Linked DNA regions of Pelodiscus sinensis. The protein of the gene in region 2 purifies or fractionates together with the protein of the main gene of each other region. This does not show direct contact. Links are inferred from orthologs where the notes say so. Each region holds a gene or a part of one and is shown on either strand. Other genes may lie near its edges.

Region 1 (6,932 bases), on a different chromosome or scaffold from region 2:
GCCCCTTCCCCCGCCCCACAGGGCCCATCTCGCCCCGCACACCCCTCCCCCTGTCCCACACACCCCTCCCCCCGCCCCACAGGGCCCATCTCGCCCCGAGTATCCCCCCCCGCCCCACAGGGCCCATCTTGCCCCGCAATCTTGCCCCGCATACCCCTCCCCCTGCCCCACACACCCCTCCCCCTGCCCCACACGCCCCTCCCCCTGCCCCACAGGGCCCATCTCACCCAGCACCCCCCCCCCCAGGTGGGGCGACAGGCTCCGACCTTCTTCTTCAGCTTGGCAAACTTCTTCTGCAAGGCCTCCTCCTGTTCGGTGAGGCCGGGGGGCAGGACGAGCATGGTGGGGCGCTCGTGGGGGGGAGGCTGCACTGGCACCCGGGGGCTGCGGGAGGAAGCAGACACAGGGGTGAGCGGGGGGGGGGTGGAGCCTCCCCCTGCACTACGGATGGTCGATGTTGGTTCACTGACTAGCCGAGTGATCGCGGATTCTGAGCCGTTACTCGACTGGTCTGGAGTCCCTGGGGGTGGAGGCAGCGCTGCCGGGGAGCCAGGGCGGCCCTCCCGGGTCCAGACCAGCAACGCCTGCAGCGCCCGGCCTTGGCCAAGCACGGCTCTAACACCCCCCCTGGGTCTGGTTGGAGCCTGGGCGCACACGTCGGTACGCAGGCCGGGGGGGGAGTCAGCAGGGCTGCCCAACGCTGCGGAACGTGGACAGGCCGGCGAGACCAGGCCAGAGAGCAGGAACAGCCTGGTCCTAGGACGTCCCACTGTGATAAGAGACAGTCCAGACGCGCTGGCGCATACCGGGCCATTGCAAATGGACCCTGGATATCGGCATACGAGGGATCTTCCGGAAACGGTAGCTGATGGGTAGACAGGCGTAGGCCGACCAAGTCTCGCTTGGCTGTCAGTTGGGTTTAGGAAGAACAATCGCGGGGGGGGGGCCTGTCTGCTCTGTGACCCGGGGTCCCCCTGCGCTGTGAGGTGCGATTCCCAGACTCACCCAGACACGGGTCCCAGCCCGTCCCAGAGGGAGGGGGAGACGGGAGGGCAGGTTCTGGGAGCAAGGCGGCTTCTGGCTGGGAAACATGAGGGGAACAGACTAAGCTGAGGGGGCGATGGACCCCTAACCCTAGGGGTCGGAGGTATCCTGGCCCTGACTCCTGTAGCCACATCGCGTCTGTGCTGGGCTGTATCCCGGAGAAGCAATAACCCCCCTGTTCTACCGGCTGGGGAGTCTGTTCTGGCTGCTACGGGGGTGCAGGATCGGGGACGGGGGGTCCCTGACACACTGGAACAAGGAACGGACCCTTCACACCCCTTCAGTGCCGACGTGCAGGCATCCAAGCCACCACGACCCCCGGCCTGGCACTGTCGGGAGCGCACCGGTGACATGTAAGTGACCTAGGCGCAATGAGGGTATTAGAATCGGCTAGGACTGGCGTGTGCACTTCGCGCTGTGCGAATTGCTTTCAATTTTAAGCCCTGGGCTATGTCTACATTCGCGGCAAGAGGGTTTTCTTGCCCAAGAAGGGGCAGTGTAGATGCTCCTCCTGGCGCAAGAGCCTCTTCTGAAAAAAGTGGGGGCTCATTAGGTATGCAAATGAGGCTCGGCGATATTCCACGCTTCGCCTCATTTGCATATTACTCCCGCAAGAAGCCGCGAGTGTAGCCATAGCTCCAGTGTTTTCAATTGTCCAGCGATTGTTGCTAAGGCTTGTCACACTCAAACAACTGCGGGAACGTCTCTCTGGGGGGTTCCGCTTTCCCTGGGATCTAAAAGCAAAGCACACGACACGGCCCCACTCCCGAGGAGCCCCCGCCCCGCCGTGCCGCTGCCGCGGTGTCCGAGGCAGCAGCGCCGGGAGCCGGTCTGCGAGGGGAGCCTGTTTCAAAGCCAGCCCCCCTGCGGACCAGCCGCCTGCCTGATACAGAGGCAGCAGCGCAGGGGGGCAGCAGCCCGTCTGGGGTCGGGGGGGTCTGAGCTCCCGGAGCCGGCGTCAGCCAGACCTGAGCCAGGCTCCCTGCCCGCCCGGCTCCTAATGCACTTGAACGGCAGAGCCGCAGCAGGGCCAGGCCCCGGATCCGGCGCAAGCCAGACCTGAGCCAGGCTCCCTGCCCGCCCGGCTCCTAATGCACTTGAACGGCAGAGCCGCAGCAGGGCCAGGCCCCGGATCCGGCGCAAGCCAGGACCCAGCTGGGCTGCTGGCCAGTCTGCGCGCACATTTACTGGGGGGGCGGCGAGTCGGCTGTAGCATTCACCGACACGTTTTTGCATATCGATTAATCGGTTACTCAATTCCACGATTACCTCCCGACCCCGGGCGTTACCCACAATGTCCTGGGGTAGCTGCAACCTGCTCCCGCCCCGCCCCCACCCTAAGCCACGCCCCCTGCCCTAGATCCAGGCTCCGCCCCCTGCTCCCACCCCTGCTGCAGGCCCCGCCCCCAGCCCCATACACGTGCACTGCCCCAAGCTCCGCCCTTGCTCCCGCCCCCTGCTGCAGGCCCCGCCCCCAGCCCCATACACGTGCACTGCCCCAAGCTCCGCCCCTGCTCCCGCCCCCTGCTGCAGGCCCCGCCCCCTGCTGCAGGCCCCGCCCCCTCCCTGACCCAAGCTCCTCCCCTGCCTCCGCCACAGGCCCTGCCCCCAGCCCCGCCCCCTAGTCTTACACTGCCCCCAAGCTCCGCCCCCTCCCTGCCCCAAGCCCCGCCCCCTGCTCCCGCCCCAGGCCCCACCAACTCCCCCCCCACCTCCGCAGCCCCGCTCCCATGATGCACCGCGGCAGGCGGCCAGGGAGAGGGGCTGTTGGGGGGGGGGGCGCGCGCGCAGGTTGCCCCCCCCGCGGACTGACCCTCTCCGCTCCCCGTCCGCGGCGGCTCTAGCGTGGCGCGGCTCTCCCCGCTCGCGCGCAGGCTCGGAGCACGCTCATTGGCGGAGCGGCGCCCTCATTTGCCTGCCTCGCGCCCGGCTCCTCTTATCCCTGGGGCGCGGCGCCGGCTGGCGTCACTTCCGCCCCGCAGCGCTCGCCCTGGTTCTCTCCCCGGCTTCCGCCCCGCAGGGCCATGCTGCGCCGGCCCCGCGCGGAGCCCTTCCGGGTCAGGGGGCGGCCCGCGGCTGCCGACATGGAGCGAATGAGTGAGGGGGGGCGCTGGGGGCAAGTGAGGGGGAGGGGCAGGAGGGGGGCAGGAGCGGGTAGTGGGGGGAGGGGCAGGGGTAGTGGGGGGAGGGGCAGGAGGGGGGCAGTGGGGGGGAGGGGCAGGAGGGGGTAGTGGGGGGGAGGGGCGCAGGGGCAGGAGGGGGGCAGGGGTAGGAGGGGGCAGGGGGAGGGGCAGGAGGGGGGCAGGGGCAGGAGGGGGTAGTGGGGGGAGGGGCAGGAGGGGGGCAGGGGCAGGAGGGGGTAGTGGGGGGAGGGGCGCAGGTGCAGGAGGGGGCAGGGGTAGTGGGGGGAGGGGCAGGAGGGGGCCGTGGCAGGCTCCAGCGGGATCTGCAGGGGGAGGGGTCTCTGCCTGTTGCAGAGTCCGACCCCCCCTTGTGCCCCCCCCCAGCGCTGCCCCCCCGGGGGCCCCTGGAGCTGCCCCTGTCCCTGCTGGAAGTCGGCTGCGCCGGGCGCTTCGAGCTCGTCACCCGGCCGGAGGGGCCCGATGGCGGCACCATCCCCCTCTGCACGGTGAGACCCCCCCCCGGCCGCCATCTCCTTCCCTCCCCTACCCCGCCACTGCCCCACGGGCCTTTCACACCTCCCCTCTCCCTCTCCAGCTGCCCCACGGGCTGCCCCCCTTCACCATGGACCTGGCCTCTGAGCTGGAGCGGCGCTTCCTGGCCAGCCCCGAATGGCTGCCCCTCCACCGCTTCGACAGGGCCCACAGGTGAGTCCTGGTGCCCACCCGCCTCCCCGAAAACCCCTGCGGGCACCAGCCCTTCGGCCGCGGAGAGGGGCGGGACATCGGGGTGCAGCGGGCGCTGACTCCGCCTCTGTGCCCCCCTCCAGGTGCTGGCCGCGGGAGAAGGACGTGTGGTCGCTGCTGGAGACAGACGCCACCCCTGTGCACGCCACTCTGCAGGCGGAGCGGGACCCCACCACGGGGCAGATCCTGGCCTTCCGAGAGGTGAGCCCATCCAGGCACGGGGGTCCTGTCCTGGCAGCCACACTGCGCCCAAAACGTGCTGGCCTGGACGCCTGGGTCCCATGCCTCCCTCCCTAGGCTGGGGGGGGCCTTTCGGCACATGAGAGATGCTGGCCTGGGGGACTGATTTAAAAAACTAAACGCACCTTTAATCCTTCTGTTACCCAACAGCCGTGTTTATAACAAAGAATACAAAATGTACAATGCTCTCCTAATTTCGTAAGCACGAGCGATACCAACAAAAGAGGGGGTCTCGCTCAATTCTCCCACTACAAGTCTTGTGCAACAGCTTCAGTTGTGCTCCCAAATATAGACCCATGTACGCAAGCTAACTGCATTTAAAAAAAAAACCCTACAAGAAAGTCCACTCAGTCCTATTTCCTGTTCGGCCAATTGCTCAGACTCACGGGTTGGCCGCAGTGGGTGTGAGGATGCTGCCTGTTTCTTATTCCCACGGCCACCTGAGTGTGAGAGCCGGCCTGTGCCGCTGTGGCCGGCGTCCCCGAGTATTTACGTGCCGGATGCGCTAAAGTTTCACACGCCCCTTCGTGCTGCGCCCGCCCTGCCAGCGCACACGTCTCCTTGGCGTTAAGGGGTTCTGCCCGATTCCCATCCAAAGCAGCGCGGGTGGACGCGGGTTCCTTTCCGTCTGCTCAGCGGAAGGCGGATTCTCTTTTTCGGTGCTTCGGGTTGTGTGGTTCCTCCCTCGGGGCGTTGATCCTTTCAGGCTCCCGAGAGCCCACGTACGACCCCCCTCGTCACGCCCTGGGAGAGGAGGCTGAGTGCGGGGGCAGGAGACCAGCCCCCCTGAAGCGCAGAGTTCCAAGCGGCCTCGTGCCCTGGGGGTGGCGGGGTGAGCAGGTCGGGCGCGCGGGGGGTTGAGCAGCGCTGCCCTGCGAGTCCCCGGCCGGCGGGGCGGAGGCCTGAGCGGGGGGCGGCGTAAGGGGCGTTTCCGGGGCTTTGCGACGCTGCCCTGGCGCTGTCCGGGGGCCACGGTGAGTGAAGGCCCCGCTCCTCGCTCTCCGCCCCAGGCGCTGCTGGACAACATGGGGCTGTCGGCCAAGAACTCGCTCTCCCTCCAGCGGGCCCCGGGGCCCCCCGCCCAGGCCTTGCGGGGCAGCAGCACCAACTACCCCTTCTGGCCAGGTACGTCCCCCTCCTTCTCCCCCGCCCCCCCCCCCCCCATCGGTGCTGCTGGGACTCAGCCTCTCTCTGCTCCCCAGCGGGATGGACGAGCCCAGCTTGGAGCAGATCTGCGCCCAGGACCAGCTGGAGGAGGATGTGGACTTTGAGAAAGGTGTGAGGGGGCCGGGTGTCCTGCCTCTCCCCCGCCCCCATCCCCTCGGGCCTGGCGGGCTCTGGGTGCCCTTCAGTGCCCTGCCCTGGGGCCGGGTGGAGGCGGCACCCCTAGAGGGGCCAGACCCCCCCCCCCCCGCCCTGCCAGGTCCTGCCCTGGGGCCCGGTGGGAGGCGGCACCCCTAGAGGGGCCAGACCCCCCCCCCACCCTGCCAGGTCCTGCCCTGGGGCCGGGTGGGAGGCAGCACCCCTAGAGGGGCCAGACCTGGCGCCCCCTGGTGGAGACAGGCCCCTGCCCCCTCTCTCCCCCCCGCCCCCTCCCAACTTTGGCTGGTGTAACTCTGCCTGTTTTCCTTCCCCGCTGCCCAGACTTGCTGACGGTGCCCCCGGCTGGAAGAAGGGGGTGGACTTCAAGCCGCAAGGTACTGATCTGGGGGGCTGGTCTCTCCATGGGGGGCCGGGCAGACACTGGTGTCCTGGAGGGGGGCACCCCGCTGGCTGGGCTCGCTTGGAGGGACTCCCTCCTCCCGGCGCCCCCTAACCCCCCCCTTTTGCCCCCTAGCTGCGCCGCGCCAGAGCGCACCGGGCCTGCTGCCCCTGGCCGGGCTGCTGGGGACCCTGGACTCCTTCCAGCTGGGCGGCTCCAGCGACGAGGAGGAGGAGACGAAGAGGAAGACCAAGGGGAAGGAGGGAGCGACGCCCCCCGCCCCTGCCCCCGCCCCCCAGCGGGCAGACAGCCTGGAGGAGCTGGTGCTGAAGGTGGAGGCGGGACAGCTGGGGGGGTGGATGTTGGGGGACGGGGCTTGTTCTGGTGGGGGGGAGGGGAGGCTGTGGGCAGGGTGCAGAAAAGGGGGGGTTGGGCTGGGGGAGGGGGGTTTTGGGGGCAGGCCGAGGCAGGAACGCCCTGGGGGGCGGAGCCCCGTAACCAGCCCTTCTGCCCCCACAGGAGGTGACCCCCGGACCTCCCCCGCCCGCCCAGGCCGCGCCCCCCGAGCCGCCCAAGGAGCAGTGGGCGATTCCCGTCGACACCTCCTCGCCCGTGGACGACTTCTACAAACGCATCCCCGACCCGGCCTTCCGGGTGAGACCCTGCCTGGGCCGCGCTGGGCTGGGGCCCTGAGGGGGGCGGGGGCTGCCCTGGGGTGGGGGAGCCAGGGAGACGTGTCACGGGGTTGTGGGGCCCAGGGCCGGATGCTAGCCTCAGTTCCCTTGTGCCGTGGGGGTCGGCTGGGGAGCCTGGGGACGCGCCACGGGGAGAGGGGCGTCCCGCCTGACTCGGTTTCCCCGGCCCAGTGGCCGTTCGAGCCGGACGTGTTCCAGAAACAGGCCATCCTGCACCTGGAGCGGCGCGACTCGCTCTTCGTGGCCGCGCACCACCTCGGCCGGCAAGACGGTGGTGGCCGAATACGCCATCGCCCTGGCCCAGAAGCACATGACCAGGTGAGGGCCCCTCCCCCTGCTGGATCTAGCCCCTCCCCCCACTGGTCCCTGTTGTTAACCCTTCCT
Region 2 (7,508 bases):
GAGGCGCAGACACCTTTGGAAAATTCAGACAATCTGCGGACTACAGATTGAAAACCACTGCCCTCTATAATTTGTTTCTCTGGCCTAGTTCCAAGCACAAGTACTGCTGGCCCAGAGACATAATCCCCAAAAAGGCAGTCAAAAGCACTAGCTGTTGTACATGGTGAAACTCATCAGCCTAAATACGAAAAATAATCTGTCCTGTTCCTCTCTCCCCTCTCTGTTTCAGACAAGAAGGCAACGGTGGAACCTTTTGAAAAAGAGCACAGCACTCACAGGAGCGCCACACTTGAGTCACAGGAATAACAATGCCTAGTCCTTAGGTAACACTTTAATCAAAACACTATACAAAGGAGGACAGTACCAATATACTCATTTTACAGATGGGCAAAGCGAGGTGAGAGGCACACTCCGCCAAGGTCACCCATCAGGCCAGAAGTGCCCAGGCCCTATGAACGCACAGCTAGCACTCTCTCCTCTAAGACACATGGGGGGCAGGCTATCCCACCATGGGCTGGCCGCTCAGGGGTCGGCAGCTATGTATCCTACGGGCAGCGGTAAAAGTAACAACGTTTCTTACAGGTACTGTCTTACCACAGCCCGGGACCCTGCCAGCTCTTTCAATAGTGCCCTGTTGGCTTTTGCCCCAGCTGCGCGCCAGGGTGCCTGAGGGCCCCCTGCCAGGGGAGGTGGAGAAGGGGCACCAGGCACAGTATAGGTAACTGGCTGGGGGGCGAGTAGGTACCGAACGTAACCCCCAGGGGGCAAAAGCGGCTGCGGGTGCAGTGCTGAGCACCCCTCTGCCACCAGGCGGGCAGGACTGAGTGCAGCGCCCCCAAGGAGCACCCGGGGGGGGGGGCAATACTGACACGCCCCCCCCCCCGCTCCGCGCGGGTGTGTCCGGCGGGCCGTTACCGATACCCTCCCCCACCCGGAGGGTGTGTCCGGCGGGCCGTTACCGATACCCTCCCCCACCCGGGGGTGTGTCCGGCAGGCCGTTACCGATACCCTCCCCCACCGGGGGGGGTGTCCGGCGGGCCGTTACCGATACCCTCCCCCACCGGGGGGGGGGTGTCCGGCGGGCCGTTACCGATACCCTCCCCCACCGGGGGGGGGGTGTCCGGCGGGCCGTTACCGATACCCTCCCCCACCCGGGGGGGGGGGTGTCCGGCGGGCCGTTACCGATACCCTCCCCCACCCGGGGGGGGGTGTCCGGCGGGCCGTTACCGATACCCTCCCCCACCGGGGGGGGGGTGTCCGGCGGGCCGTTACCGATACCTTCCCCCACCGGGGGGGGGGTGTCCGGCGGGCCGTTACCGATACCCTCCCCCACCGGGGGGGGGGTGTCCGGCGGGCCGTTACCGATACCCTCCCCCACCGGGGGGGGGGGGGTGTCCGGCGGGCCGTTACCGATACCCTCCCCCACCCGGGGGGTGTGTCCGGCGGGCCGTTACCGATACCCTCCCCCACCCGGGGGGTGTGTCCGGCGGGCCGTTACCGATACCCTCCCCCACCCGGGGGTGTGTCCGGCGGGCCGTTACCGATACCCTCCCCCACCCGGGGGTGTGTCCGGCGGGCCGTTACCGATACCCTCCCCCACCCGGGGGGTGTGTCCGGCGGGCCGTTACCGATACCCTCCCCCACCCGGGGGGGGTGTCCGGCGGGCCGTTACCGATACCCTCCCCCACCCGGGGGGGGGGGGTGTCCGGCGGGCCGTTACCGATACCCTCCCCCACCGGGGGGGGGGGGGTGTCCGGCGGGCCGTTACCGATACCCTCCCCCACCGGGGGGGGGGGGGTGTCCGGCGGGCCGTTACCGATACCCTCCCCCACCGGGGGGGGGGGTGTCCGGCGGGCCGTTACCGATACCCTCCCCCACCGGGGGGGGGGGGTGTCCGGCGGGCCGTTACCGATACCCTCCCCCACCGGGGGGGGGGTGTCCGGCGGGCCGTTACCGATACCCTCCCCCACCGGGGGGGGGGGGTGTGTGTCCGGCGGGCCGTTACCGATACCCTCCCCCACCGGGGGGTGTGTCCGGCGGGCCGTTACCGATACCCTCCCCCACCCGGGGGTGTGTCCGGCGGGCCGTTACCGATACCCTCCCCCACCCGGGGGTGTGTCCGGCGGGCCGTTACCGATACCCTCCCCCAGCCGGGGGGTGTGTCCGGCGGGCCGTTACCGATACCCTCCCCCAGCCGGGGGGTGTGTCCGGCGGGCCGTTACCGATACCTTCCCCCACCGGGGGTGTGTCCGGCGGGCCGTTACCGATACCCTCCCCCACCCGGGGGGGTGTGTCCGGCGGGCCGTTACCGATACCTTCCCCCACCGGGGGTGTGTCCGGCGGGCCGTTACCGATACCCTCCCCCACCCGGGGGTGTGTCCGGCGGGCGGCTCCTCCGACGCCATTTAACGGGGAGGGGGCGGGTACCGCCGCCGCCACCACACGGGGGCGTTTGCCGCCCTCACCCAGCCGCCGCTTGCTGGGGCAACTGGCCCCGGGCACCTCACTCGCTCTCGCAGCCCTACCCTGCCCCCCCCCCCCCCCCAGCCCGCGGCAGGACTCGCGCGCTGGAGCCGCTCCCGCCTCGCCCGGTGCCCGCGCAGCCCCTGCCCGGCTCTCACCTCATCCACCGCCCGGCGGGGCAGGTGCAGCATCCCCAGCAGCAGTTTGAGCTTGACGGCCGAGGAGAGGCCGTGGAAGCAGAGGCGGATGTTGTCGATCACCGAGGCCGTGAGCAGCGAGGCGATGCTCGGCGGCGCCCACAGCTCGTCCGTGGAGCCCAGCTTGTTGTGCAGCCACAGGCCAGTGTCGCTCTCCCGCATCGACGCCATCTTGGGAGCGGGGCGAAAAAAGGGGGGATTTTTAGCAGGCATTTTATGAAGACACCTATACGAAGGGAGGGCGAGGACCCCTGTGGGCCGCCGTTTCGCTCGTAACCCAAAATGGCGGCTCCCTCGCGGAGAGGCTTCGCCATGGGGCGCAGGGAGTTCCGTAATCTAAAATGGCGGCGCCCTGTGGGAGAGGAACAGCGAGCTCGGGAGCAACGCCTTCCGTAGTGCGAAATGGAGCCTCCCTTCCGTACTGCAACATGGCGTTCCCCATGTCGCGGGAAGCCTCGCAGGTTGGCTTCCCCGCCCTCTGCTGGCGTCCCCCAGCGCTTCTCCAAGGGACGGGGCTGCAGCCTGCGCCCGTTCCCTCAGCCCTTCTCCCTCCCCACACTGTCACCTCGCCCCCGCCCCTCTGCTCCGTCCTCCCGCTTCCAGCCCCACACCTGCCTCCCCGCTGCACAGCTGGTCTGCGCGCGCCCCTGCTCCGCAGCCTGGCTAGGCTGTGCCCGCTGGACGGCTCCGACCCTTTCTGACTCGGTGGCGGCTTGGTAGAGCTGGCCGGAAAAAATAGAAATTTGTATTCAAAACAACTGATCCGACTCCAGCACGGGACTCTTATCTGTACCCACCGCTGGCAGCTGGGCAACTCTCTTCTCCTTTGGTCCTCTGTTTCCCCCCCTCTCATCTTCCTTTCCAAACAACACACCCAGCCTGCTACCCAATTGACAGGTGATGAAATCTACTTGCAATGCTCTGCTTTGACATAAGCGAAGTTGAAGCCCTTTTTCATCATCTCCCCAAAGATTTTAGTAGGGGGTGTCTGGTAAGAGGAGGAAGTAATCTCCGTGCATAAACAGGAGAAACTGGGAAACAGGCCCTTTTCATACAAGTGTACACACACAAGCCTAACTTCCTGTGCAACAAAGGGGTCTCAGCTTCTTGCACCTGTGTAATGATAAGCACATGCTTAGATTAAGGACCTTTATAAATACAGCTTCAAATGCATATTTTAGTATATCAATAAACAAAATGGGGGAACCTTTCTGGGGATGCATAGAGACAGAATGAACTTGGTAAACTTGGCATGCTTAAGGCTTTTTTTGTTTTTGTTTTTGTTTTAAACATGCTCATTCTTTACTACCAGATAGTTGCAGAGTTCACAGTCTGGCTTTGCTGTGGGAACTGAGCTGATAGCACTTTTTGCGGAAAAGCGTTCGTGCCAATCTAGACGCGCTTTTGTGCAAAAAAAAGCCCCAATCACCATTTTTGCGATCGGGGCCTTTTGCGCAAAACAAATCTGAGCTGTCTACACTGGCCCTTTTGCGCAAAAGGACTTTTGCCCGAACAGGAGCAGCATAGTATTTCCACAGGAAGCACTGATTTCAAACAGTAGGAAGTCAGTGCTCTTGTGGAAATTCAAGCGGCCAGTGTAGACAGCTGGCAAGTTTTTCCAGTCTAGACGCAGCCATAGAATAATCAATACTTATCATATGCATATGACATATCTATCTATCTATCACTCATGCACACACACACACAAGCACACTCCGTCTTGCTGTTGTTACCAAGTAGTTGCTCCCCTTAACTTCACTGGCCAGGTGAGTTAGATGGGGGAGGGGTGAAGCCGGGCTTCCACCCCCTCTTCAACTGCTGTAGCTGTCTGGAGGTGCTTGGCTCTCAAGTCTTACTCATTCTCACCTCATTCATTCAACAGGGCAATTGATTACAGAGTGGGGGGAAGATCTTATTCTACTCCTAGCAAAAGACATTTTTACCACTTTAACTATATACTCAGTTTTCTACAAGTTTTCTATATAGGGTTCTAATACAAAGTTAAAAGGTTATATGGATTCAGGTTCTAATACAAAATTACAAGGTTATATGGAGAGGCACAATGCCAAGTCATATGAAATAATACATAGATTTATCTACATTGTTGATATTAGTAAAATGCAATATTTACCTGATTTCCACCCATATGACAGTACTTTTAATGAGCAATGACTGTCCAGGAATGTAACTACTAAAACTCATGTCAACAGAGCATGAAGGTGCCAGAGTCTTTCAGAGAAAAGGTACCCAGAATTTAACATGGGCAAAACAACTCATTTTTTTGGAAATGGTTGATCTGTTTTGGCTGGAGAGGGAGAGAGAAAGCAAGATTATACCACCTCCCTCCAGGATCTGAACTTCTACAAACCCAATCACATATCTTATGGCTGCTGTGGGTTATCCTTTGGCAGAGCTTCCTAATTAAGAGTACGGTAGTGTTTTTAGCTATCAAGAAGGCAGCATAAGAGTTTCTCCTTTCATTCAAGTAAAATTAACCCTCATCCCCTTTCTTGTTTATTTTTTACAGTGAAGGATCAGGCATTTAAGAAGGGAGATTACAAGACCTGTCCTGAAACTCAGCTATGGAAATCAGGAAGAAATCAGGAAATCATCACCTTTTGCCTGAGAACAGAGCCAAACACAAAGAGGTTATTTGGTGGCAGGAGATGTCACTTCTAACTTTTTCTCTAAGACTTAGTCTACACTGCAGGGTTTTTGTGCAAAAAGCTTTTTGCAGAAGAGATCTTCCATAAAAACTTCTTATGCAAAAGCACGTCCACACCCCAAAAGCTCATCGCAAAAGCAATGTGCTTTTGCACAGAAGAGTGTCGACACTGCATGGACGCTCTTGCGCAAGAAAGTTCTGATGGCCATTCACAGAATTCTTCTGATCATTGTACAGGTCAAAAACTTGTCTCTCTCACCAACAGAAGTTGGTTCAATAAAAGAGATTACCTACCTTCTGTTGCTCATAGAATCATAGAGCTGGAAGAGACCTCAGGAGGTCATCAAGTCAAGCCCCCTGCTCAAGGCGGGACCAATCCCAACTAAATCAACCCAGCCAGGGTTTTATCAAGCCGAGACTTAAAATCCTCTCAGGGTGGAGATTCCACCACCTCCCTAGGTAACCCATTACAGTGCTTCACCACCCTCCGAGTGAAATAGTTTTTCCTAATATCCAACCTAGACCCTTCCCACTGTAACTTGAGACCATTGCTCCTTGTTCTGCCACCTGTCTCTGCTGAGAACAGCCTTTCTCCATCCTCTTTGGAACCTCCCTTCAGGAAATTCCAAAGGGGGGGAGGGATAGCTCAGTGGTTTGAGCATTGGTCTGCTAAACCCAGGGTTGTGAGTTCAATCCTTGTGGAGGCCATTTTAGGGATTTGGGGCAAAAGTTTGTCAGGGATGGTACTTGGTCCTGCTGTGAAGGCAAGGGGCTGGACTCAATGACCTTCAAGGTCCCTTCCAGTTCTAGGAGATAGGCAATCTCCATTAATTTAAAAATTTATTTTATTTATAAGTTGAAGGCTGTTATCAAATCCCCCCTCACTCTTCTCTCCTGCAGACTAAACAAACCCAAATCCCTCAGTTTCTCCTCATAGGTCATGTGCTTCAGCCCCCTAATCATTTTGATTGCCCTCTGCTGGACCCTCTCCAATGCATCCACATCCTTTCTATAGTGGGGGACCCAGAACTGGACACACTACTCCAGATGTGGCCTCACCAGAGCTGAATAAAGGGGAATAATCACTTCTCTGGATCTGCTGGTAATGCTCCTCCTAATGCACCCTAATATGCTATTAGCCCTCTTGGCTACAAGGGCACACCATTGACTCATATCCAGCTTCTCATCCACTGTAATCCCCAAGTCCTTTTCTGCAGAACTGCTACTTAGCCATTTGGTCCCCAGCTTGTAACAATGCTTGGGATTCTTCTGTCCCAAGTGCAGGACTCTACACTTGTCCTTGATGAACCTCATTAGATTTCTTTTGGCTCAATCCTCTAATCTGTCCAGGTCATTCTGGACCCTACTCCTGCCCTCCAGCATATCTACCTCTCCCCCTAGCTTAGTGTCATCTGCGAACTTACTGAGGGTGCAATCTATCCCCTCATCCAGAGAATGCTCATATCCTGGGACAAACACAGTTATAACAACACTGCACACAACATGTTTTGAAATTTCTTAAGTTTGTAAAACAACAAAGTGGAAAAAAATCCATTATGTGGAAACTTTTAGACACTAGTATGAGTCATCAGCAAAGTTGGAACCTTTACCTCTATAGCACAAGACCTCTGACATTTCCGCTAACTAGTAGTGGTTGTAAGTTATCATTCTGTAGGCTGACTGGCCACTGGATGAGTCTGAGACACACAATTTGCCAGTGGGTTTTACAGATGTTTGCTTATAGCAGAGGAATAGCAGGCTTCAGGTATGAGAAATATTGGTTTGGAAGGGGCCACAATAGATCAACTAGTTCAGTCCTTTGCACTAAATTAGAAGTAAGTATTATCTAGACCATCCCTGACAGATGTTTTTGTGACATGTTCTAAAAACCTTAAATGACAGAGATTCCACAATGTCTCCAGGTAATTTGTTCTAATGCTTAACTATCCACATAGTAAGGGTTGGTTTTTTTTTGTTTGTTTGTTTAATTTAAATCTCTGAAGTGTAAGACCATTACTACTTATCCTTTATGCAATGGTTAAGGAGAACAGTTTATCACATTATTATGTACCTCTCTAGTTGTCTCTTCCGCAGACTAAACAAACCCAATTTTTTCAATCTTTCCAGATAAAGACCTAAAAATTATGACCTAATCATTTTCGTTGCTCTCCTCTGGACTTTCT
Region 3 (7,276 bases), on a different chromosome or scaffold from region 2:
ACCAGTAGGGGCCGGAGCAGCTTCCCACCTGCCATGGGTGGGGGGCTGCTCCAGCTCCGCAGGGCCTGCTGTGGGTAGGTGGTACTCTAGCCCAGCCAGAGCAGCCCCTGTTGGCAGAAGGCTTGACCAAGGCTCACTACAGGCAGGGAGGTCCAGCGCAGCAGGGGCAGTCCCAGTCTGCAGCAAGGGGGGGGCCATTCCAGCACGGGCAGTGATAGGTGGGCAGCTGCTCACCCCCGCAACTGCCCTCCCCATTAATCGGTTAACTGGTTAAACATTACTTTTAACCAGTTAACTAATTAAAAATTGGCTTTGACATCCCTAGTTTATTTCATTAAGACTTGTTTAAAGAAGATAAACTGACACTAAGTAACTAGCCAAAATATTTACATAGCTTTTTCCAGGTGGTAGCAAAGTTTCAAGGCCAGATGGATGCTCAATTCTCTGATAATACTGGCAGGATAGGAACCCAATATGCTCCCTTTTCAAAGACAGAGATTGGAGAATCCTGTTCCAAATTTCACTGTAAGTTCTTCCTGTTCTTACCTCTCCCTGACGTCTCGTTTTTGGAGAGGGACTGAAGAAGTTGTGCAAGACAGAGAGATCACTACTGAAGAGAGTGTTTTCTTTTTCCAGGATGTACTGTTTTAGCAATGGGGACACCTCATCACCGAACAGAGCTTGGTTATCCTGCCAGATCTGGCGCTTCACCTCCACGGCACATGCTTTGTATAAATCCTTATCTGCCATCACTAACTTCAGTTTCTTTTCAGGGACCTATGAACAACAGTGCAGAGTCAGGAAAAAGTTTAGCTAGGGGTTCACCGGTCAGATTGTTAAAATGGTAGGTAGTTAACTACTGGAAAGATCGACATCACAGCCTTGAACTGGCCAGTAACTTCTATAGCCAGTGCAATTAAAACATAAGGAAACAGCAGAGACCCTTCTTTTATGATCCTGCCCCTCCAAAAGGATCCTGATTTTAAAGTATTTAGCTTTCGAGATAAAGCATTACATTTTCCTTCAGTTAGTTTTACAACAAATATCTTCCCCTATTAAAAAAGGAAGAAAAGCATTCTACAGTGACGGTTCAAAGCTCTACAAAGTACAAAGCACTAGCAGAGGTTTTGAATAGGGATGAGAGTTTAATCAATTAACCCATAAACTTTTAAACTGATGTTTATCAGTTAATCTCAGCCAACTCCCAGGGAGTCCTCTTCAATGTGGCAAGGCAGCAAAACCTCCTGCCTGGTTACCATATTACATGATTTTTAACATCCCTAGTTTTGAAGCGATTATATTAAGGATACTTAGTGCCTTACATGAAGGGTTGTTTCCTTTTACGTGCCCTTTCCCAGAAATATTGCCCTTTACAAAAAAAAAATCTAGCTTTAAAATTTAAGCTATATAATTTACTAGGTCATCCTTACAATGTCCCACTTGCCGTTTAAATCAGTGATGAAAAAGCCCCCTACCACTGAGTTCAATCTATTTTTCAGAAGGATGAGGGAGGACAGGCACATTTTAAAAACAGAAAAACACGCTTCTCTCGCTAATTCATTTATAAAGTATGAAATGCTTTTTAAACTACATTAAAATTAACTGATATGAGAATCAAAGTGTAAGCCAAAATCTCTACCAGTGAATGATTAACTGAAGAGTTTGCAAATGTGCCACACAGCCCAGCTAACAGCAGAAAGTAAAAGGGACTGTTGTAACCAGGAGATATAAGGAGATTTTACCTTGGGAAGGTGTTTCATGACACACATCACCACAGGCTGTATAGATGGCATCTTGACCAAGGAAAAACATTTTTCCAGCAGATCCTCTAGCTTTTTGTATCTGGAAACATGCAAGCAAGAAAAGTTGCAAGGTAAAGTTTTCAAAACCCCTGAGTCACTTAAGGTCTTAAGTGCTTGAATTGCTTTTGAAAATGGGACTTAAGCACTTAAGTTTTTTTAAAAAACTTTACCTTCCATGATTTTGCAATTAATTTCTAATGATGAGTAATATGCAGCAACAAGATCAGTAACACACCTTTCCTCAACTTTTCCTTCTGAGGCAATGGCTGAAACTCTCTCTAGCAGTTTCTCCCTCAGCTCATCAAATACAGACTGATGAAATTCCAACCTAGGAGTGCCGTGGAGGTCCAAGAATGGCAGAGCAGACTGGAGAGAGGGCAGGAGGACTCCATTTTCTGTCTAGCAAAACAAACACCATAAGAGTCCTAAGTTTTGGATTAAACACAAATTCCTGGTTGGCAATAAAACAGAGTGCCCGCCAAGAGAAACAAGGCTTCCTTCTCACATTTCAGCCTGGGGTACGCTGCTAAAAACAAAACCTGTTTGCAAAACAGCTAAATCCTGACCGGTTTGGGGGGGGGGCTCCCTTCCTTTTTAATGGTGGTAGAGATGCAGCCCTTAGTCTGGTGCAGCTGGAACAAAAGGCAGGACCAGGCAGCGCTTTAAAGACTAACAAGATGGTTTATTAGGAGATGTACCAGGGCATCAGCTCGGTAACCCCCCCCCAGGACCCCCCTTCGCCAGAGCCATGGGGGGAGGGGGGACACGCCCCGCCCCAAGGAGGGAGTCGCTTGCGCGGCGCAGGACCAGCCTGGGTTAGGCCGCTTCCGGGGGGGGGGGGTGAAGCCCTTTGTAGGAGGGTCCCGCCGCGCGGGGGGGGGGGGGGCGGCTCCTCACGCGGAGCCTCGGGCCCCAGACGCGCCGATCCCAGCGGGGTCTCCCTGCGAGGGGGGGCGGCCAGTGGGGGGGGCACTCCCATGAGCCCCCCCAGTCCCCGCGCATGCGCCCTGCGCGGTCCTCGAGGCGCCGGCCTCGGGCCCCCGGGCCGCACCTGGAACTGCTCGATGGCCTTGAGCGGTTCGGTGCAGTTGGTCAGCGTCTCCTTCAGGTCCTCGCCGTTGGCCACCCCCAGCTCCTGCAGCCCCGCGAACATGGCGGCGGGGCGGGTCCGTCGCCGGCCCCGGCCCCCCGGACCCCGCGGCCCCGGCACGCAGGTTCCGGCTCGGCGGGCGGAGCCGGGCTGCGAGCGCCACAGCGACCCCTGCGGCCCGCGGCCGGCGTGGCGGCCTCCCCCCCACCGCCCCCGCCTGCGGCCGGCCCCCTAGAGACACCCCGCGGGAATGCCGCCTCCCCGCTGCGTCCCCCACCCCGTGTGCTGCCTCCCCCCCCACAGAGATAGGCTTGGCAGACGGGGTTACAAAAAATACCCAACACCCCCCCCCCAAAAAAAAAACACCGGGAAAAAATTCTGTTGGGGGGGGGGGGGGAAAGGGGAGACCAAAGTAGTGGAGAAAAAAAAGGGCGCTGCGCCTTTAAGTGGCTCTGGTCTCAGTGCCCCCCATCCCAGTGCACTCACCCCTCCCCCAGAGCCAGGTGCCCCAGTGCCCCCCCATCCCAGTGCACTCACCCCTCCCCCAGAGCCAGGTGCCCCAGTGCCCCCCCATCCCAGTGCACTCACCCCTCCCCCAGAGCCAGGTGCCCCAGTGCCCCCCCCCATCCCAATGCACTCATCCCTCCCCCAGAGCCAGGTGCCCCAGTGCCCCCCATCCCAATGCACTCACCCCTCCCCCAGAGCCAGGTGCCCCAGTGCCCCCCCCATCCCAATGCACTCACCCCTCCCCCAGAGCCAGGCGCCCCAGTGTCCCCCCATCCCAGTGCACTCACCCCTCCCCCAGAGCCAGGTGCCCCAGTGCCCCCCCATCCCAGTGCACTCACCCCTCCCCCAGAGCCAGGTGCCCCAGTGCCCCCCCATCCCAGTGCACTCACCCCTCCCCCAGAGCCAGGTGCCCCAGTGCCCCCCCCATCCCAATGCACTCATCCCTCCCCCAGAGCCAGGTGCCCCAGTGCCCCCCCATCCCAATGCACTCACCCCTCCCCCAGAGCCAGGTGCCCCAGTGCCCCCCCATCCCAATGCACTCACCCCTCCCCCAGAGCCAGGCGCCCCAGTGTCCCCCCATCCCAGTGCACTCACCCCTCCCCCAGAGCCAGGCGCCCCAGTGTCCCCCCATCCCAGTGCACTCACCCCTCCCCCAGAACCAGGCGCCCTAGTGCCCCCCCATCCCAATGCACTCACCCTTCCCCAGAGCCAGGCGCCCTAGTGCCCCCCCATCCCAATGCACTCACCCTTCCCCCAGAACCAGGCGCCCTAGTGCCCCCCCATCCCAATGCACTCATCCCTCCCCCAGAACCAGGCGCCCTAGTGCCCCCCCATCCCAATGCACTCACCCTTCCCCCAGAGCCAGGCCCCTCACAGGCTATGTCTACACTTGTGGCTTCTTGTGCGAGTAATATGCAAATGAGGCTAAGCATACCTAATGAGCCTAATTTCGTTACACCTATTACTTTTCAGGAAGAATGGCATTGCGCAAGAGGGGTTTTTTTGCGCAAGAAGGGGCAGTGTAGATGCTCCTTCTTGCGCAAGATCTTCTTCTGAAAAAAATGGTGGCTCACTAGGTATGCAAATGAGGCTCAGCAATATTCCACGCTTAGCCTCATTTGCATATTGCTCGCACAAGAAGCCGCGAGTGTAGACATAGCCCCAGTGTCCCCCATCCTAGTGCACTCACCCCTCCCCCTGAGCCAGGCATCCCCAGCACCAGGAGCGCTCCGCCCCAATCAAATCACACACCCCCACCTCCTCTCCTGCCGCAGAGCCAGGCACCCGAGGAACAGGATGGCCGGGTAAGGAAATCTTACTCTTAAAGTCACCGCTCCTGCCGCCCAGCCTCGCTGCCTGGGTTCCCCGTGTGTAGAGGGAGGCATCACGTGGCCAGCTCCCGGGTCTCTGCTCAAAGCGTCACATGAGCTAGAGCAGCATATGCTTGCTCCCACCCCAGCCCAGTGCCCTCCTAGCATGGCGCCTGGGGGCAAGTGTCCCCTTCTGCCCCCCTTCACTACGCCTCTGCCGCACTCCTCACTTCCCTACCCCTGCCAGATGTGGCAGGGGAAAATTGTCCCCACTGGGCTTCCGTCCAAGGGAAATAGGAAATACTGGACATTTCACATGTCTGGTATTTTCTGGTTTTTTTTTTACTGGACGGGGGACCCGAATAATGAACAATCTGGGTGAAAACCAGATACCTACCTAGAGACCTACGAGAATGCCATTTTCTTGTTCCCTATAGAACTTCTGGGGATGCTGCCTCCTTCCTTATATCCTCCCAAGTATAAGAGCATAAGAATGGCCAGACTGGGTCAGACCAAAGGTTCAATCAGCCCAGTATCCTGTCTGCCAACAGTGGCCAATGCCAGGTGCCCCACAGGGAGTGAATCGAACAGGTAATGATCAAGCGATCTCTCTCCTGCCATCCATCTCCACCCTCTGATAAACAGAGACTGGGGACACCGTTCCTACCCATCCTGGCTAGTAGCCATTAATGTTTATCACGTTACCGGAGTTTAAGGGAAACAGCCAGGTCACTGCTGCGCCCATGGGGGGGGGGGTTTGTCCCAAAAGTTGATAGAAAGGGGGCCATGTGAAGTGTCAAACAAAAGCTTATTGTCTACGGATTCCGTACATGCTCTTCGTATACCTGTATAATGTCTGTGTGTGTTATAAGTATGTACTCTATGTTGATGCTGAAAGATTCTCTGTCTGAGGCAGAGCAATGGGCCGGGAATGTTTGCCCATGGACATGCTAATGAGCAAAGCTCCAGGGAACAATGGACCGCTGGAGGCCAAAGACACAGCTGGCCACTGGCCATGTGACTCTCCAGCTTAGAAGAAGCCAGGAGGGGATATAAATATGCCAGGTGGCCGACTCCATCGGGGTGCTCAGCTCAGCTCTTCATCTCAGAGGCAAGAGTGCAGGGATCAAGGAGCCAGAAAGAACTGTACAAAAACCTGTAGGGGAACACTTCAATCTCCCTGGACACACAATTGCAGATCTAAAGGTAGCCATCCTGCAGCAAAAAAACTTCAGGACCAGACTTCAAAGAGAAACTGCTGAGCTACAGTTCATCTTCAAGTTTGACACAATCAACTCAGGATTAAACAAAGACTGTGAATGGCTCGCTAACTACAAAAGCAGCTTCTCCTTTCTTGGAATTCACACCTCCAGATCAGCAACTAGAAGTGGGCCTCATCCTCCCTGATTGGATCCACCTCGTCATCTCCAGCCTGATTCTGGCCTGCATATTTATACCTGCCTCTGGAAATTTCCACTACATGCATCTGACGAAGTGGGTCTTTGTCCACGAAAGCTTATGCTCCAACACTTCAGTTAGTCTATAAGGTGCCACAGGACTCCTCGCCGCTTTTGCAGATTCAGACTAACACGGCTCCCCCTCTGATACTTGTCCCCTCTCCATGTGCTGCTTGAGCCGCAGGGCTGTCTCCCACTTTGCGTGACTTTGTTGCTTTGGCATCCCTGTCACATATTTCCACATTTGCTGAACTGCGGGGAGGTTGCAGGCACTGGCCTCCTGGCCCCTAGAATTCTCCAGTCTCCCAGGCAGTGAGTTATATGGGCCCCAGAGGTGCTCTAACACCATGAATACTCATGGTCCGGGGCATGGCTCTGTCAATGTTAACTGTAACGCATCCTGAGTGTGACTTAATCACCCAATGATCCTTACTCCACTTGAATGACAAGCCGTTTGTTACCTTAATTACCCTACCTGTGTTTATAAACAAACTCCCTGCTGCACAGGCTGTGCTGTTCCCAGCTTCGGAATTCATCACAGGCCGAGTTTGAGGAGGGCTAGCTACACTTAACATTTAACATTCTTTAAACTTTTTTAACCTAAAACCAAAACCACCTGTTTTAAAAAAATAAATATAAAAAAAGGATAAACTCTACATGTAAAAAGAGGATGCAGGCAGAAGCCCATCAATGCTAACACCTGTGTCTTCCTAATAACTGGACTTCCCTCCCCTGAAGAGGTCTCAGTGTGATAGGTTATTGCATCACCTGGAAGGAAGGTCCCAACTGTGGATAATTTTCTTCTGCTCCATTTGGACGTTCTCCTCCCCGCAAAAACGCAGAGGCTGGCACAGCTGTCCTGATTGGTCCTATGGACAGGGCGGCTCTGAGGAGATGACTATAGCTGGACTGCTTGGAAATAGTGAATTAATTAAATTTAACACGCCTGTGGTTAGAAAAATACCACAGTAGCTCAACACCATGGCATTTAATTTCATAAAGGGGAACTACACACAATGAAGAGGTTAGTTAAACAGAAATTGAAAGGTACAGTGTCAAAAGTGAAATCCCCGTAAGTTTTCAAACTTTTCAGACACCCTAATAGAGGCT

The links. The genes of interacting proteins can lie anywhere in the genome.
Region 1: the proteins of NELFA (region 2) and negative elongation factor E-like purify together in Homo sapiens (affinity purification with mass spectrometry; 9 studies listed by BioGRID and IntAct, counting the BioPlex papers as one, with this or other methods). This does not show direct contact. The link is inferred for Pelodiscus sinensis from reciprocal best matches to the Homo sapiens genes NELFA and NELFE.
Region 3: the proteins of NELFA (region 2) and NELFB purify together in Homo sapiens (affinity purification with mass spectrometry; 8 studies listed by BioGRID and IntAct, counting the BioPlex papers as one, with this or other methods). This does not show direct contact. The link is inferred for Pelodiscus sinensis from reciprocal best matches to the Homo sapiens genes NELFA and NELFB.

The regions. Positions count from the first base shown.
Region 1 is NW_027466016.1:20,619-27,550, reverse strand, and holds the start of negative elongation factor E-like, read right to left. Parts: upstream 3,017-6,932; 5' UTR 2,858-3,016; intron 385-2,857; 5' UTR 342-384; coding exon 267-341; intron 1-266. UniProt on the Homo sapiens protein: Essential component of the NELF complex, a complex that negatively regulates the elongation of transcription by RNA polymerase II.
Region 2 is NC_134715.1:118,486,296-118,493,803, reverse strand, and holds the start of NELFA (negative elongation factor A), read right to left. Parts: upstream 3,018-7,508; 5' UTR 2,874-3,017; coding exon 2,622-2,873; intron 1-2,621. UniProt on the Homo sapiens protein: Essential component of the NELF complex, a complex that negatively regulates the elongation of transcription by RNA polymerase II.
Region 3 is NC_134732.1:3,324,845-3,332,120, reverse strand, and holds the start of NELFB (negative elongation factor B), read right to left. Parts: upstream 3,017-7,276; 5' UTR 2,956-3,016; coding exon 2,854-2,955; intron 2,202-2,853; coding exon 2,038-2,201; intron 1,843-2,037; coding exon 1,743-1,842; intron 778-1,742; coding exon 547-777; intron 1-546. UniProt on the Homo sapiens protein: Essential component of the NELF complex, a complex that negatively regulates the elongation of transcription by RNA polymerase II.